2 linked regions of the Arabidopsis thaliana genome follow. The protein of the gene in region 1 interacts with the protein of each later gene in a pairwise test. Each region holds a gene or a part of one and is shown in the gene's direction. Other genes may lie near its edges.

Region 1 (8,036 bases):
AAAAATGATGAAACTCACCACAAAATCTTCAGGGGATATCCAACTATCTCCCAAAATCACTCCTAATCACACATATTATAAAATAGAATTATTTGTCTACTACATTATTAGTTTCATTTTATTCAGAGAAAAAAAGAAAATAAAGAAAGCACGTAATCCCTTTACCTCCAAGATGAAGCTTCAATTTGCCAGATTGAACTGCGTCAATAACCGATAAACCGAGCTTAACCGCGATTTTGCCACCATAAGATTCAGCAACAATGAAGAGAGGGCTTTGGTTTAAAGTCTGGTTTTTGTTGAAGAGTTGTTGCAACAGTTTGGTCAAATCTTGTGCTGCTTCTTCATCACTTTTCACATACAAATCCTTTTGATTGCCCTCCACGAAACTGTACCCTGCCCCAACTGGACTATCCTTTATTTTCAAGAAAAATATATATATAATCGATTAAAAACTTAACATATGTGAGTAAGCTTAAAGACTGATCAAATTAGATACCACGTAAAAGTAATTAATTACACACTTTTGAAAACAAAATTTTGTTTTACTCTATATCAAAGAAGAATGATAGTATTATTGTTTTTTTTTTGTTAATAATAATATTGGTGGAAATAAAAGTAAACATGAAAACGAAAAAAATACCACAAACAAAAGATCGGCTTTCTTCAACCAAGTTGAGTTTCTGGGCTTGAGAAATGTGTCTAATGGTCCAACCTCCTGAAAATTCCCTATACCAACCCCTGAAGCTCCCTGTTTCATCAAAACCAAATAATTGAAAACATTAATGATCAATAAACAACAAATGTGTAAAAAGACGAATAAGATGTAAAATAAAAGAAGATAAAAACTTACAGGTCCACCTTGGAGCCAGAGGATGATAGGCCATGGCTTGGAAGGATTTTCAACTCTATATGGACTTTTATAATGCCACCAAAACATGTGTGCTTCTATTTTCACGATTTTGATTTAGAAAAAAGAGTCAAAACAAAACCCATTTAGTCATATCTAACATAAACCAATTGATTTCTTGAAAATTTTGGTAGAAGAAAGAGAGATAAAGAACGTACTTGGTCTAACTTCGACGTATCCCCAAGCTTCGGATCCATCGGAGTTAATTTTTCTTACATGTTTGGTTTCTCCATTGGTACATGAAACAATGAGACATAGAATCACCAGATAAACAACTGTTGTCTTCATTCAGACGATTCTTTGTGGATCAATTTTCCTATCTTGTGATTGTGGGAGAGGGAGAGAGAAAAGAAAATTTGAGAGGGATAAAGACACTATAGGAAGCAATATATTATGGAGTGTCAAGTCATTAAGTCAATGCTATTGGTTCAACCTTATTTGGTATATATATACTATATATTATATAATGAAAATTCACTAGTAAAGATAGAATGTCAGCTAAATTCTTACTGTAATTATTAACCAAAAAGTAAAAGAAATATTTTCTTCCATAAGAGAACATTAATATTTTTGTTTTGTTTTTCTGACAGCAATAGGTTGTGATATTTTTGGATAATTTTTTTTGTAGCACAAAATTTTGGTCATCCACATTCTGTTCTTGTTTCTTGGCTTCGTAGATTGATTGCTAGATCGTAGATAAACGTGTACGACGGAATAAAGTATTGTGGTCATGAAAAATATCGGTATGGTTATTTCCGATGAACCTCCACCACTCAAGGAAAAATGGATTCATTCGATTTGAGGGAAACAGAAGAACATCACGTAAATTATGTTATTTATTGTTTTTGAGCGAGTGTTGTTTTAGATTATTACTTTTCTTAAGACGAAACTAGGTTTGATTAGCCTTTTTTGTCTATGAAGTGTAGATTGCTACTTATAGTGTTCTGCCTAGTGTCTATACTGGATTTTGGATATCGGGCCTGAGTTTATGGGTGGATATTTACTTGTTGATCTTTTGCAAGACAGCAAGAGCAACGTAGTAGTAAAAACAATCTCCTTGGTTTGCTTCTTAGATGATGCGGCCGGCACGAATGCAACTATGACACCAAAAAAGTGGTTTCCACTCATTGATTACGAATAGATTCATGCGTAAGTCCGTTATCCTTTTTAATAAATACCGTAACTGAATTTATTCTCAAATAGTAAGAGATGATAAAGCAATTTGATATTTAGCTATTCGGGGAATTAACGTAAGGTCGATGCAACAACTACTCCACATGTTGGCTATCAGTATTGCGTCACTTTCTTGAGCTAAAAAACAGATAAGAGGAAAATAAAATTTCAAAAAAGTACATCTGAATATTCAGGCAATTTAATATCTTAACTCATACGTACATGGCCAAACTTAGCTTTCATGTCAGAAGTTTGATAAAAGTTTTCAATTCCAAGATAGTATATCTATTCACACAAAACATTCCGATTTTAAATTATGTTGTTACTAAATAATAATAATAATAACGACGCAACTATAATTAATTAGGCTAACTATAACCATATTTGTTTTATAAAAACAAATTAAAAAAAAAATTAAGTTAGCATACGAAAAAGGTGACAGGCCAAAACACATTCAAACCCATCTGAATTCACATTTTCTATATTTTTTATAACAAATAATTTTCTTGCATGTTTTATACACAAAGAAATTGACATCTTATGTTTCTTTTTGTATAAAATAGCATGTCAATTTCTACAAGGTAAAGGATTTTTCCAAGTAATTATCCATGGATTGAACCCTAGATTCGTATTTTCTAATTGTTATTCTTTATTTCGAGCACAAGACATCGCATAATTTTTTTTGTCAGTTAATTTTTTTTCGCATATATAGAACCAATCAATCTATACTCTATATGTGAATACCCGAACGCCTAACCTAATAAAAGCATACTAAACTGAAGGCAAAAAAGGTTCAAAACCAGGTCCATTAGAATGCCCAATAGAAAAAGTCACTTAGGGAAATATCAACTAACTCAAAAGGAATAAGAAGAAATGGGCTCCAAACTCAATCACTGACACACTGGTCCTGATCGGATGCTCTCCATCTCAAAACGGCACGCCCAACCACGTAGGCTAGCACCCTCCCTAAAGAGTAATTAGCGGGCATTTTCCCCCATCATATTTGAGGTCCACCGATTAGTGTGAACTTTAGTTTACGTGTTTGTAATATTTTTTTTTGTCTGTAATATTTTAATTTATTTTTATTTTGTTCCAAATGATCGATCTTCTCAACTAACAAATCATTCATGCAGTTTTACTTGATGAGGGATTTCATATACAATTTTACAATTGACACTACAAAGAGTCAAAGATTTACATTAGAAGGTTCTCTCTACACCATGCTAATGATAGACAAATTTACCCTTTGACAGACCAGACCACTCATCAGACGTGGCCGTCATCAGCCGAGTTAACTCCTTGTAATCTTTCTCAAAAGCAGTATCGGTTAAAGATAGTGAAATGAGGAATGTCATCACCTAGAAAAGAGATTCAAATTTTGCATGAGGGGATAAACAGTGTTTGAAACTCTTTAAACTAAGTTGAATAATGTGGTTGTTCGAGCCAACATTCCATCTAATGTAGTTTAATGTTGGCTCGAACAAAAAGATCAACCTTACAAACCAAAAGATTAATACCAAGTGGAAAATATTGATAATTTATGTATGTTTCTTTTGGACGTACACGTTTCAATAGTTTGAAGAATTTCTTAGGTAAACCATAAATTATATATGTATATATATATATATATATATATATATATTCTTCTTCATTTATTGATATAGATATGTCAAAATTAGAGTATTACCATTATAATTTTTTGGTTATAATTAAATTCCAAGTTGGAACAAATTTTGATCTCTTTAATTTGACATATGTTGATAATGTGTGTTTCTTTTGGATGTACACGTTTCAATAGTTCGAGAAATCTATTATTCAAATCATAAATGTTAATTAAATATATTTTAGAAACATTTTTTGAATTTAATTATTTTCATATATATATATATTAAATTTAAAGTATTATCATTTAATATTTTGGTTATTTTTGTAGTCAAAGTTGGAACAAATTTTGATCTATATACACATTTAATTAGCTTGTAATTTTGTCATCAAACTCATTTACTCAATGGCCTCATCCAACGGTTAGGAATCAACCTTAACCAAACATCATATCTAATTATATATCCTTTCCCTTTCCTCCCCCAATAAACTATTAACAATAAATATTTAATAATTAAGAGAAGAATTGAAAAGATATCTACCAATCCTAAATAAGAAGAAAAAAACATAAAATCTTCATTTATCAACAATAAAATAAAATTTATATCTTCCTTTCTCTCTTACCCTTAAAATCTGATTTTTCCTCCTCTTGTCTCAAAAATCAATCATCTAATACCCTTTCTCTCTCCCTCTACTGATCATCTTCATAAAGGTAATGCAAATGGCAAGAGCATGTTCTTCGTAATTTATTACATTGTTCATAAGGTTTTGTCTCGCTCTTCCCTTTTTGTATATATTGTAATTATTGTCTAAGAAAAACAAAACAGGAGAGAGATTAATGGAGGAGCCGAAATGGCTCGAAGGTCTCTTAAGAACAAACTTCTTCAGCATTTGCCCTCGACATCGCGAGACACCGCGAAATGAGTGCAACATGTTCTGTCTCTCCTGTCAAAACGCTGCGTTTTGCTTCTACTGCCGCTCCTCCTTTCACATTGATCATCCCGTCCTTCAGGTCCTTCATTTTCTCAACACACAATGCATACACATATATATATATATCACTTTTGACTCAATCCAATTCTTTATCATTAACATTGAGACAGATAAGAAGATCGTCGTATCATGATGTGGTGAGAGTATCGGAGATAGAGAATGCATTGGACATAAGAGGAGTGCAAACTTATGTCATCAATAGCGCGAGGGTTCTCTTCTTAAACGAGAGACCTCAGCCTAAGAACTCCTCCCATGGTGCCGCCTCCTCCACTCCGAAAACCATGTCCTACTTCTGTGAGACATGTTGCAGAACCCTTCTTGATCCCTTTCGCTTCTGTTCCTTGGGTTGCAAGGTTCGTTTTCCTACACCTTTTCTCAATGCAAAATTCCTTTTTGTAGCTGGATGGATAAATCATGAGCAAAAACCTGTAAACTTCATATCATAGAAAAACGAATGCATAGTTATAAGTCAATCTATCTAACGAGCACTTTACAACTGGACCAACAAAATTGGTTTATCATATTTTCATCATTATTACTAATATCTTCGCATTTATTTGTCCGATATAAAATGAGGAATCGGTTTAAGGATACACCGTATAATGTTTAGTTACTTGTATGGTAAATTCATTGAATCAACTATATTCAAACTCGCTTAATACATGTTGTTTGCCTCATATAATGTATCTTAAGAAAATATATACGAGGTTAGATGTTTGTATATATGTATATGGTACATTTTGCTCAAAAAAAAAGTATATGGTACATTTGCATAACGGAAATGTATGATGTGATCATAATAAAAATGTCAGGTTGAAGGAATGAGGAAGAATAAGGAAGAGGAAGAAGAAAGATTGCGTAAAGAAAGACAACAAGAAACGCACAAAGGCACGCATCCTCCAACTCATACCTCTAATTCTAGGCGACGAAAAGGCATTCCTCATAGAGCTCCTTTTGCCTCCTAATTTAATCAATCTTTTTCAAGAAATAAAATAAAACTTTTCTTTAACTTATTTTTATCTTTTTAAAATCATCAGTTAATGGTCCACCCAAACATAGCATAGTATATGCGTATTGGGTGGGTGTATTTATATATTCCCAATTTGTACAATGTCCAGCTCACTTCTCACAATCCTCTCACATGGAAAACCAACAATTTGTATAGAAGAAAATCCTAATTTCCCTATATTTTTTTTTTGTAAAACATTAAATACATTTCTAGCTAATTGTATAACATATATCTATACTGTAGGATTGTAGGATGGACTCTATTTGATATACTAATTAATTTTTGTGAAATATAAGTCTTACCTTTAAAACACATTATACAAAAATTAAGAGTTCAAAAAGACTCTTTGTGGAAGGAAGGAATAACATGAAAATTTAGGCATTAGTTAGACTATGAGAATGTCGGTGGAGATATACTGTATACTTTATTTCCGAGTAGATAATCTAATAACTAATCGATGTGGTGGTTTGAAGTTACCTGTCTCTATATCCATCTAGCTACTAAATATTTTAGTTTAGACTGAAATTGTGTGGGGTTTAGGGATCAATAATTGTGTATCTAAATGGTTTTTTTTTTCTTTTCTTTTTTTTTGGGAAAATATCTAAATGGTTAAGGGACATGAATGTGTATATGTTTTGTATAGACACATGAAATGTTCTTCGACATTAATTCTAAGCTGTTATATAATTAAAATAGTTTGTCGTAGGCGTTAGGTATTCGAAAGGTACAGTTACTTAAAAAAGAAAATGAAACTTTCACTTATTTACATAAATAATTTAAGTGGTAAAATTTTACGTAAAGGATGGTCTTATTTTAGTACGCATCGACCTTAATTTCCTTCACGTTCTACATAATATATTATGGCACTTTAAGAAAAAACTAGGTTATAACATTAATTATGAATTACGTGTTGTCGTTTCTCGAGAATAATTAGAGAATTGTGGAATTGTACAAAAGTAATAATTGATGCATAATGCATTGGTAGTATAATTCTCCAAGAGGAAGTCAAGCTCATGTTGCGGTTGTTGATCGCACTGCGAGAAGCATCGATCTCTTCAGCTTATAGTCAGATCGATTCTTGGATTCTTGATTCAGGAGCCTCTTTCCACACTAATGCTCCCTAGGACATAATGGAGAACTATGTTGCCCAAAATTATGAGAAGATATCTCTAGTAGATGGATTATCTTTGGACATTGTTGGTGTTGAAGACATTAACCTGAAGATGTCAGATGAGCTTGTATGGAAAATCACAAAGGTTAGACATGTCCGAAAGTGATGTGAAATCTATTTTTTGTTGGACAATTTGATGATACATGACACGATATCAATGTTGGTTGTGGAGCTTGAATAGTGACAAAGGGTTCCATGACAGGTACAAAAAGCTATAAAAGAGACACTATTTATATGACCACTAACTATGAAGATATATATAGTTGATGTTGCCGAAAATGCCTAAAACAAAACTGAGTTGTGGCATTATAGATTGAGGCATATGAGCGAGAAATGTATGAATTTCATGGTAACAAATGGTGAATCTCCAAATTTAAAGATATTAAATCACTACATGTATGAAAGTTGCATCCTTGGAAAGCGGAAACGGGTTAGGTTTTGAGTGATGGTAGGAAGTTGAAATCTAAGAAGTTGGAGCTAGTACAAAATAACTTGTTCGAACCTGCTTATGTTGCATCGCTAGGAGTATCACACTATTATGTGACTTTCATTGATGACTCCAGTATGAAGTTTACTTTATGAAGAACAAGTATGGTTGAGATAAATCTCAAATTGAGTGTCTAATATCTGATAATGGTAAAGAGTACATTTGCGGTGAGTTTATAAAATACTGCGCTGATAATAGGATTACAATGGAGAAAACTATTCCTGAAATGCATCATCAAAATGAAAAAGTGGAGATTGTGACTAGAATTTTGAACGAGCGTGCAAAAAACTTGTGACTCCAGTGTAGATTGCCTTTAGATATTTTGGACAAATGAAATCAATACCGCAACCTTCTTGAGGACCGTCTGTTATATTCCAATGGGATTCAAGATCCTTGAAGAAACTTGGATCCATTGAAATAGCCTTGTTTTTGTGGACTAAGATGAGAGAAAAATTGTCTTCTCTTAGCGTGTTATTCATGGTCATTAATTAATTTGTGAATTGAACTTAACTATTTGAATTTTTTATATTGATCTTGACCTTTGACTATTAATTTGATCCATTCATGAGCCAAACATATGTATTTTATGGGTCTCCGTGACATGGTGAGCTTCCAAAGAAATAAATTGGATTCATTGTGGATGGTACACTAACACTTGAGATTAATGAGAGAAATTTTTTTCAATAAAATTAAA
Region 2 (8,044 bases), on another chromosome or scaffold:
TGAATCTTGGTTCACTTTCTATTATTGAATCTTGGATCAACTTAATTCTAACTAGATTACATACGTAAATCTCTTTCTTCCATCACCTATGTTTCTCAAAAAATTCGACAACTCTTTTTAATTTTGATTTTGATTTGAGGATCATGAAATCTTTTAGTAGTATTCCTCTACATATTTGTCTTCTTGAAAGATTATATCGAGAAACAAAATTGGTATAAGCTTTATATATTTCACTCAATTTAAAACATGAAACGCTTCTAGACACTAATATCGAGAGACTTCTTCTGCCAACGGTTTCCGGTGCCGGAGGAGCTCTAGCTCACCGGCGCCGTCAATTCTCCGATTCGCATGTTCAGTTTCTTCTTTGTATGTCTAGCCTCATTGCTTATCTTTCTCTTTTCAGTAATTTTTCCCCTCTTTTAAAACTATCTCGAATCCTTTCAAACCTTTGGCTTCTGGTGAGAACTTCAACCAACATCAAAAGGAAAAGATGGTGTCTGGCGATACCCATCTATCACCTTCATCATGCAACACCTCTGTGGAAGTCATCTATAACGATGCTCTTGCGTTTTCAATCTATGGTAGAACCACCAACTTATCGCTTTGAGATCTCGTTATCCCGAGCATTTATCTTAACCCAAGCAATGTCGCACGGCGAGACACTTCTCTGGGATACGACTTCACTTTTTGGATTGACTAGGATCCTCTGGTTCTCCTCCTCTGCCTCACCTCACGGCCAAAACCAGCAAACGTCGACCTTTCCTTCACCGGAGATGGACGCTTCCCTCTCGTCATCTCCGTACAACAGCCGCCACCATCACGACCTTCATTTGTCTGAAGGGAAATTAGGTTTACAGCTGGTGGGCCTGGTTCTTTTTGGCCCATTAAGGTATCGAATGCCCATTAGTAAAGATGATCCAAAACTGCCTCTCCTAAAGCCCAGGTCTGATCTGAACTATTCTTTATCCATCTTTAGTCAATCTCTATATCACTTATTGGCTTCAATTGATCGTGGACATCATACGAACCATAATGAACTAGTGTTGATATGGTTGCATAAGAACTCCCTTAGAACCCTGCCCTTAGTTTCATCTAGGACTTTCGTTACTGGCTTTATTTGTTTGAAGAATAATGGTATCATGTTCCCAACTCCAACAAGTCGATGGTGTGATCTTTGTCACCCAAGCGCCACCATATGTATATCTCCGACACATTTAGGTATCTCCTTCAAGCAATCCTGCATCAGCAGTAGAGTTAAGGCTCATATCTCTCGGATCTCCAAAGAAGTTCCCAACCTTTTTGAGATAATTACTGAACCTTCGCCTCACGCCCTTGTAGTTAAAGGATTGAAGAAAATCGGCATTATGATCACGTCTCCAAGGAGCGGTGATTACCAACGCTTCTTCAACCTTTCCCACTCCTATCCTCTGATTACTGAATTCAAGCAAAAGCGATTCAACATTATTAAGTTTAGTATTCATGATCTTCAAAGCTTGGGAAAGAACGGCATTATGATCTCGTCTCCATGGAGTGATGATTACCGAAGCTTCTTCAACCTTCTTGACCTTACACCCATCGTTACCCACCTCCTCGGCGATGAACAACTCCAGTTTCTCCTTCTCGTGTCGGCGAGAACATCGGCCTTGGAACCTTATTCAACGTCATCTCGTCTCTTGACAGTGACCAATTTGTTGTCCATTGATTCGTTCGTGGAAGATCCTTCGACTACCCGTGACCTCACATGTGCCATCATGCCTTATAGTTTGTGGCTCAAAGCTCTCATGAATTTTATGTCGTTTCACATTATCTATCATATCTTGGTTTTGGGGAATGCCTCTTTTAATTATGTTTTAAACTTTGTGATCTTTGAATCACTCCTTCTTATATTTGTTTTGATTTGAATAAATGAAAACAAATCTTTGCAAAAAAAAAAAAAAAAGATTATATCGACAATGATATTGTTTAAATATATCAGTCTACATTTATCATCTTCTCTGTTAGACTCGTCGTTAAATTTCTATTTTTTTAATAGTTTACACAGATGTTTTCATATTCTAACTATTTCTTTATATAATAAATTTGTATATCTAGTAGACGGATCTTCAAAAAAAAAAACAAGTTCTCCCCACATATTAATATCAAAAAAATTCTTAAATACCTTATCAGCATTTTAGATTTAATTATGAGCAAAATAAATGTTTAGAGATATGAAACTTAAATAATTGTATCTTATTCTCAACAATTAACGAATAACCAATTTGGAGACAAATCTATAAACTAATAAATCTTGCTTCTCTATAGGGTGCGCTTTTGTCCCTGTTACGTATGAAGTGACGTATAATCGTCTACTAAACTATTTTATCCGTACGACATCAGTTTCCTATAATATTTGTGTGACACTATAATAAAAATGAAAAATCATGTTCGTCGTATACCTGAATTAAGCAACGTATAATGAATAAACTTTCCATAAATACAAAAATACTCGATTAGTGGAGTGTGCATCGCCAACAAAAAAGATTCTACGCAACGTGTCGAATCAGTACTTGTTCCTGAGTTCCTCCGTCACTAACCAGTGCGGACCATGTCAGTATCCAAGCACCCACACGCTCGTCGTCTCTTGAAAACATCTCACACAAATACACAACGGCTCGGACTAATAACTTGCCATCTAAGAAAAGCTAATTGACCTAAGGCTTTGTGGCACCTGCATGTAAAAAGCAAACACGAATTTGCCACGTTATTACAAAGCATACCACGTCACCGTCTCACTGTTACACTATCTCTTGTTCTCCTTTATTTCGCTATGGACAACAAAAATTATAAGGTGGGGAAGAGATGTCTCAAAATACTTTTTTATCGTCCTCTCAATTTATGTAACTGATAATAATCGAAATAGATAAATTTAATTGTAGGTTGACAAAGCGCTAATTTTAATAAAAACATATATTAGTTTGGAAAATTTTGTCGTAGTAAGTAATTAAACCTATCAATCTTGACTAATAATTTCAAGTATCCCATAAAAATCAAAATTGTCCTTAGGTTTTGAAATTGTACTACTGATAGTACGTAATTAAACAAACAAAAGCTATAGCTTGTGGATTATAGCTAATCCCATTTGGCGATGAGAGTAATATATATATTGTTCAAATAAAGTTGTAATTAAGATTCGATTGAAAAGGTAAATTATAGTTTAAGAAAAACAAAGAGAGGAGACAACAATTAAAAAAATGAAAAGTGGAGAACTGTACTCTCGCCTATACGAGGAGGTCATTATCTCCAAGGCTCTCAAGGATTAAGGACCATGCTTTGATTCTATAAATGTTGTTTTATTCAAACTATTTATATTATTATATCATACGTAATATGTGGTTAGCATTTGACCCACGTCCCCTTAATTAAGTCTAGATTAATCCCATTAATCTATCCAATTAATAATTAGGAAAATTTTATATAAGATTGCTATTGGATTTCTCGGTGGTGGTTTAAACTATAAAATAGTAATGCCTTTGATGCGTGTGATTTTTTATTGGAACTTATTGGTTTTAATTCTTAACCTAGCAATTATATTTGTAGTAGTTTATGTTAATCATTGTTTAATAATACTCCTATAATAACTCTTGCAAGTAGCAACACTTGTGTGGCTATTTATTCCAGAGTCCATGGATATGTATGTATAAGAAAATAGGAGTGCTTTTGCAGATTGAAGAGTTTGTCTATAAAATCATGTTTACTTGGCATTTAGTGTTATTGTTTGCAATTTTTTATTTTAAATTAGTCGGATATTTTAAGTTAAAATCTGAATACACAGCATGTTCCTTCTAACGTTTTTTAACATAATTGTAAACTAAAGAAAAATTATAATATAATAAATTAAATTATACCCTCTCTATTCATTGTAGAAGATTTGTTTGTTTCACCAAATGTGTTTTTTTTTTATAAGTTGCTCTCACTCTTGAGAGTTTTGGAGTATTTTGAAGAGGACGAGGTTCTTTTGTGAAAAAGTGAAAGAAACAAATCATGTCAAGAATTAGAAAGAAATCATGACAAATAATTTTGTTTGTGCAGAAATTACAAATGAATCATAGATATCCTTCTAATTCGGGATCGGAAACCAGTTGAAAAATCGATGGACTAAGCTTTCTATATTGGGACTAGCTTACCCTTAGAATTAGTCAAGCAGCTTAAATCATCTATGACTTAAAATTATAATTAAGAAAAAACAATGCCTAAATATGCATATATTTCAAATGTATCACATAACTTGTGACATAAGAAAATATAAACAAAACAAAAAGGGCAAAAAAGACCTGAAAGCTTAGAGGCACACCTGCATAGGTCCCACAGTTCACTCGTGACACCGTAAAAGGCAAAACACGAACCCGCCACGTTATCACAAAAAGCAAGCCACGTCAATATAGTCTCACTGTCAACTACACTTAACTTACTATTTTCACATCTCATTTTCCTATCTTTATATAAACCCTCCAGGCTCCTCTTTAATTTCTTTACCACCACCAACAACAAACATATAAACCATAAGGAAAACAGAGAAAGAGAGAGATGGAGGACGACAATAGTAACAACAACAACAACAACAACGTGATCGCACCTTTCATCGTGAAAACATATCAGATGGTCAATGATCCTTCCACCGATTGGCTCATCACTTGGGGACCTGCTCACAACAGTTTCATAGTCGTTGATCCACTCGACTTCTCGCAACGAATCTTACCTGCTTATTTCAAACACAACAATTTCAGCAGTTTTGTTCGTCAACTCAACACCTATGTAAGTTAATTCATAACCGAAACTCATACATGAAACTGGAAACAGGGGATTACGAACTAATGATCCTTTCTTTATTTACTTTAGGGGTTTAGGAAAGTGGATCCGGACCGGTGGGAGTTTGCGAACGAGCATTTTCTAAGGGGACAGAAGCATTTGTTGAATAACATAGCGCGTAGGAAACACGCGCGGGGGATGTACGGTCAAGATTTGGAGGACGGTGAGATTGTGAGGGAGATCGAACGGTTAAAAGAAGAGCAGAGGGAGCTAGAGGCAGAGATTCAGAGGATGAACCGGAGGATCGAAGCGACGGAGAAGAGACCGGAGCAGATGATGGCGTTTCTTTACAAAGTCGTTGAAGATCCTGATCTTCTTCCAAGAATGATGCTCGAGAAAGAACGGACAAAGCAACAACAACAAGTTTCCGACAAGAAGAAGCGTCGTGTCACGATGTCGACGGTGAAGTCAGAGGAAGAAGAAGTGGAAGAAGATGAAGGGAGGGTCTTTAGGGTTATGTCATCATCAACACCGTCGCCGTCATCAACGGAGAATCTTTACCGGAATCATTCACCGGATGGGTGGATTGTTCCTATGACGCAAGGACAGTTTGGTAGTTACGAGACGGGTTTGGTGGCGAAGTCGATGCTCTCGAATTCAACGTCGTCGACGTCATCATCTTTGACGTCGACGTTTTCTTTGCCGGAGAGTGTTAACGGAGGAGGAGGAGGAGGATGTGGGAGTATTCAGGGAGAAAGAAGGTATAAAGAAACGGCGACGTTTGGAGGAGTGGTAGAGTCAAATCCACCAACAACACCGCCTTATCCATTTTCTCTGTTTCGAGGTGGCTTTTAGCGTTTAGCTTCACATGATATATGATCTTTAGACTTTATTATTGTTATATTATTATTATTATTTATTTTTTGTGTGTTTGTTCTTAATTATTTTATGTATAACCAAAAGAAAGAAAGAAAATAAGGACAGATCCATAGTTGAGTCAGTAGTCATCGTTTGTAGAAAGTTTTGACAGTATATAATTTCTGATTATATTTGTTAAAAGTTCATATGTTGACTTTGTTTTCCTTTTAAAAGTACTTTCAGGTGACTTGTGTAATATATTCACACTTGTAATAACAACAATTTTGATCTTCTTCACTACTTCAGTGTTTTGATTTTTGAATAAAGTATTATTGTAGCCTTATATCTTTGTAATAACAACAAAATATAGGCTTTACTTTTTCCACTTTAAGCTAGTAATTAAGTCTATATACCATTTCAAATTTATCGTTAATGGCCATCTTTAAACTAAACCATATCGAGTATTTGACTCTTTCTCTTGAAACACTTGTTCTCAAACACATTAACGAATCAGTTGACATGGTATATAGACTTACTAGCTTATATAACCCACATGCTTAAAGCTGATCATAAAGTAGAAGAAACATTGCCTATATATAACCCACGTGGTTAAGGCGACACAAGTCGGTCGACTGATAACAAGTCAACGAGACATCCATTCAAGATTCAAACGTATCATCAACACGACGCTCCACTTTCACTTTCATCTAAAATTGATAACATGACATTGTTAAATTTTGAGACGTGACAGTTAGCCACGGGACTTTGGTCGGCCAACAACGTTTCGAACACTCATTGGGCTAGAGAGAGAGAGAGTATAAAACAACGATAAATCTAAATTGGACCACCTGATGTCTCTCACACGAGGACGCGTGGTTATACCAGATAATCGCAAAATCTCTTGTAAGATGTTCGGGTCCATACTTTGATTGTCGGCTCTACGATACGCTCATACGCATACATCATATAAAGTTACTATCACAATTTTGTTTTGTTGTTTATGATTGATTTTTTAACACTTCGATAATACTTATGTTTTCTTTTGTTAAAATACTTAAATAATATTATTAAAGTTGTAAAGATTCGTAACTTTATAAAGTTTTATGATCTTTTACTCAATTTTATAAATTAAGTATTCACTTATTACTTTTTTTTTTTTGTTAAAAGACTTGTTTACTTATTTGTGATGTAGTTAAGAATTATCTTTTATATTAATTTATGAATAATATTTTATATGTCTTTAAAAAAAAAATAGCGAAAAATTTCTCCAACTTAATAGGAGAACAAAGTTGAATAATTTTCTTCTTAATAGGATATTGAATGGTCTAGTATCCATTAAAAACTAAGTCGGCCTAAAATATTTTCATTTTATACTATTAATTAGCTAACAACATATACTATTGTTTATCAAAGAAACAAAACATACTATTGGTTGTGGATTAGCTAACCTTATTTAGTAATAAGAGAATAGTTTTTCTTGTCCAAATCAATTGCGTAAGACTCGACATAAATGGAAATATATACTTAAAAAAGGAAAAGAGAGAATAGTTGTAAGTTGACAAAGGGCGAACCATCTCTTGCCGGTTGGAGGAAGTCATTGTCACTTAGGATCTAGCGAATCAAGGACCATTCTTTGGTGCTATAAATTGTAGTTTTATTCAAGCCATGTAACTTTTTTGGATTTTTATAATGCACCTAACATGTGGTTAACATTTGACCCACGTCCTCTTAATTTAAATCTAGCTACATAATTATGCATTACTTAATTGGTAAATTTTGCATTAGGATATTGGTTTTCTTGGTGATGGCTTAAACAATAAATTAGTGTATGTTAGATTTTGATTGGATTAGAGGTTTCAATTCTTAACCAAGAATCTTTTCCCCTTAAAAAGTGCTTTCTTTTTATGAAAATTATTGTCTCTATAACCAAATACTTCTTGGCTTCTTGCGCACTTAGTGCCAAATCATTTGTTTATAGTAACGTCTTATCCAATCAATTTCAAAGGAAAGGGAAAAGATAGAAAGATAGGTTAATTGACTTGTTTCCAAGATATATATTAAGTTCATTTCCATATTCAAATAAATTCCCAAATTATTGTCTAAAAAGTTACTAAGTTTTTCAAATATTAGGTTTTGGATATTCGATTTTGATCACTTGTAAACTCTTTCTGATAATAAATTCTGGAAAAGGTCTCAATGAGTCCAGCTAGGTGATGAAGGAAAATTCAGAAGCACAATCATCTTAAGGGTTGTAGAACTATGGTGATGTTCCCAAGCATACATGGTCTAGTGGTAGAAGAAGTTTTGGTGTAAGGGAAAACTTTTAGATCCGAGTTCGATTTTTCTTGTAAACAAAAACACAAGTCTGTTAGTTGGGGTTTGACCTAATTGGTTTACATGG

Evidence for each region. Proteins that work in one complex are often made in the same cells at the same time.
Region 2: the proteins of AT2G27930 (region 1) and HSFC1 interact in a two-hybrid assay, tested with the Arabidopsis thaliana proteins (one large-scale study listed by BioGRID).

What each region holds. Positions count from the first base shown.
Region 1 is NC_003071.7:11,887,849-11,895,884, forward strand, and holds AT2G27930 (PLATZ transcription factor family protein), read left to right. Parts: upstream 1-4,248; 5' UTR 4,249-4,394; exon of another isoform or gene 4,395-4,509; 5' UTR 4,510-4,520; coding exon of another isoform or gene 4,521-4,602; coding exon 4,603-5,028; coding exon of another isoform or gene 5,029-5,121; exon of another isoform or gene 5,122-5,487; coding exon 5,488-5,640; 3' UTR 5,641-5,880; downstream 5,881-8,036. Other genes in the region: SCPL51 (serine carboxypeptidase-like 51), read right to left, coding at 19-62, 166-412, 641-748, 851-945, 1,066-1,195.
Region 2 is NC_003074.8:8,936,892-8,944,935, forward strand, and holds HSFC1 (heat shock transcription factor C1), read left to right. Parts: upstream 1-4,174; 5' UTR 4,175-4,563; coding exon 4,564-4,791; intron 4,792-4,820; exon of another isoform or gene 4,821-4,875; coding exon 4,876-5,640; 3' UTR 5,641-5,983; downstream 5,984-8,044. Other genes in the region: AT3G24514 (uncharacterized protein), read left to right, coding at 491-581, 2,033-2,058; AT3G24516 (uncharacterized protein), read right to left, coding at 697-885; AT3G24517 (uncharacterized protein), read right to left, coding at 1,215-1,616, 1,661-1,750. UniProt on the Arabidopsis thaliana protein: Transcriptional regulator that specifically binds DNA sequence 5'-AGAAnnTTCT-3' known as heat shock promoter elements (HSE).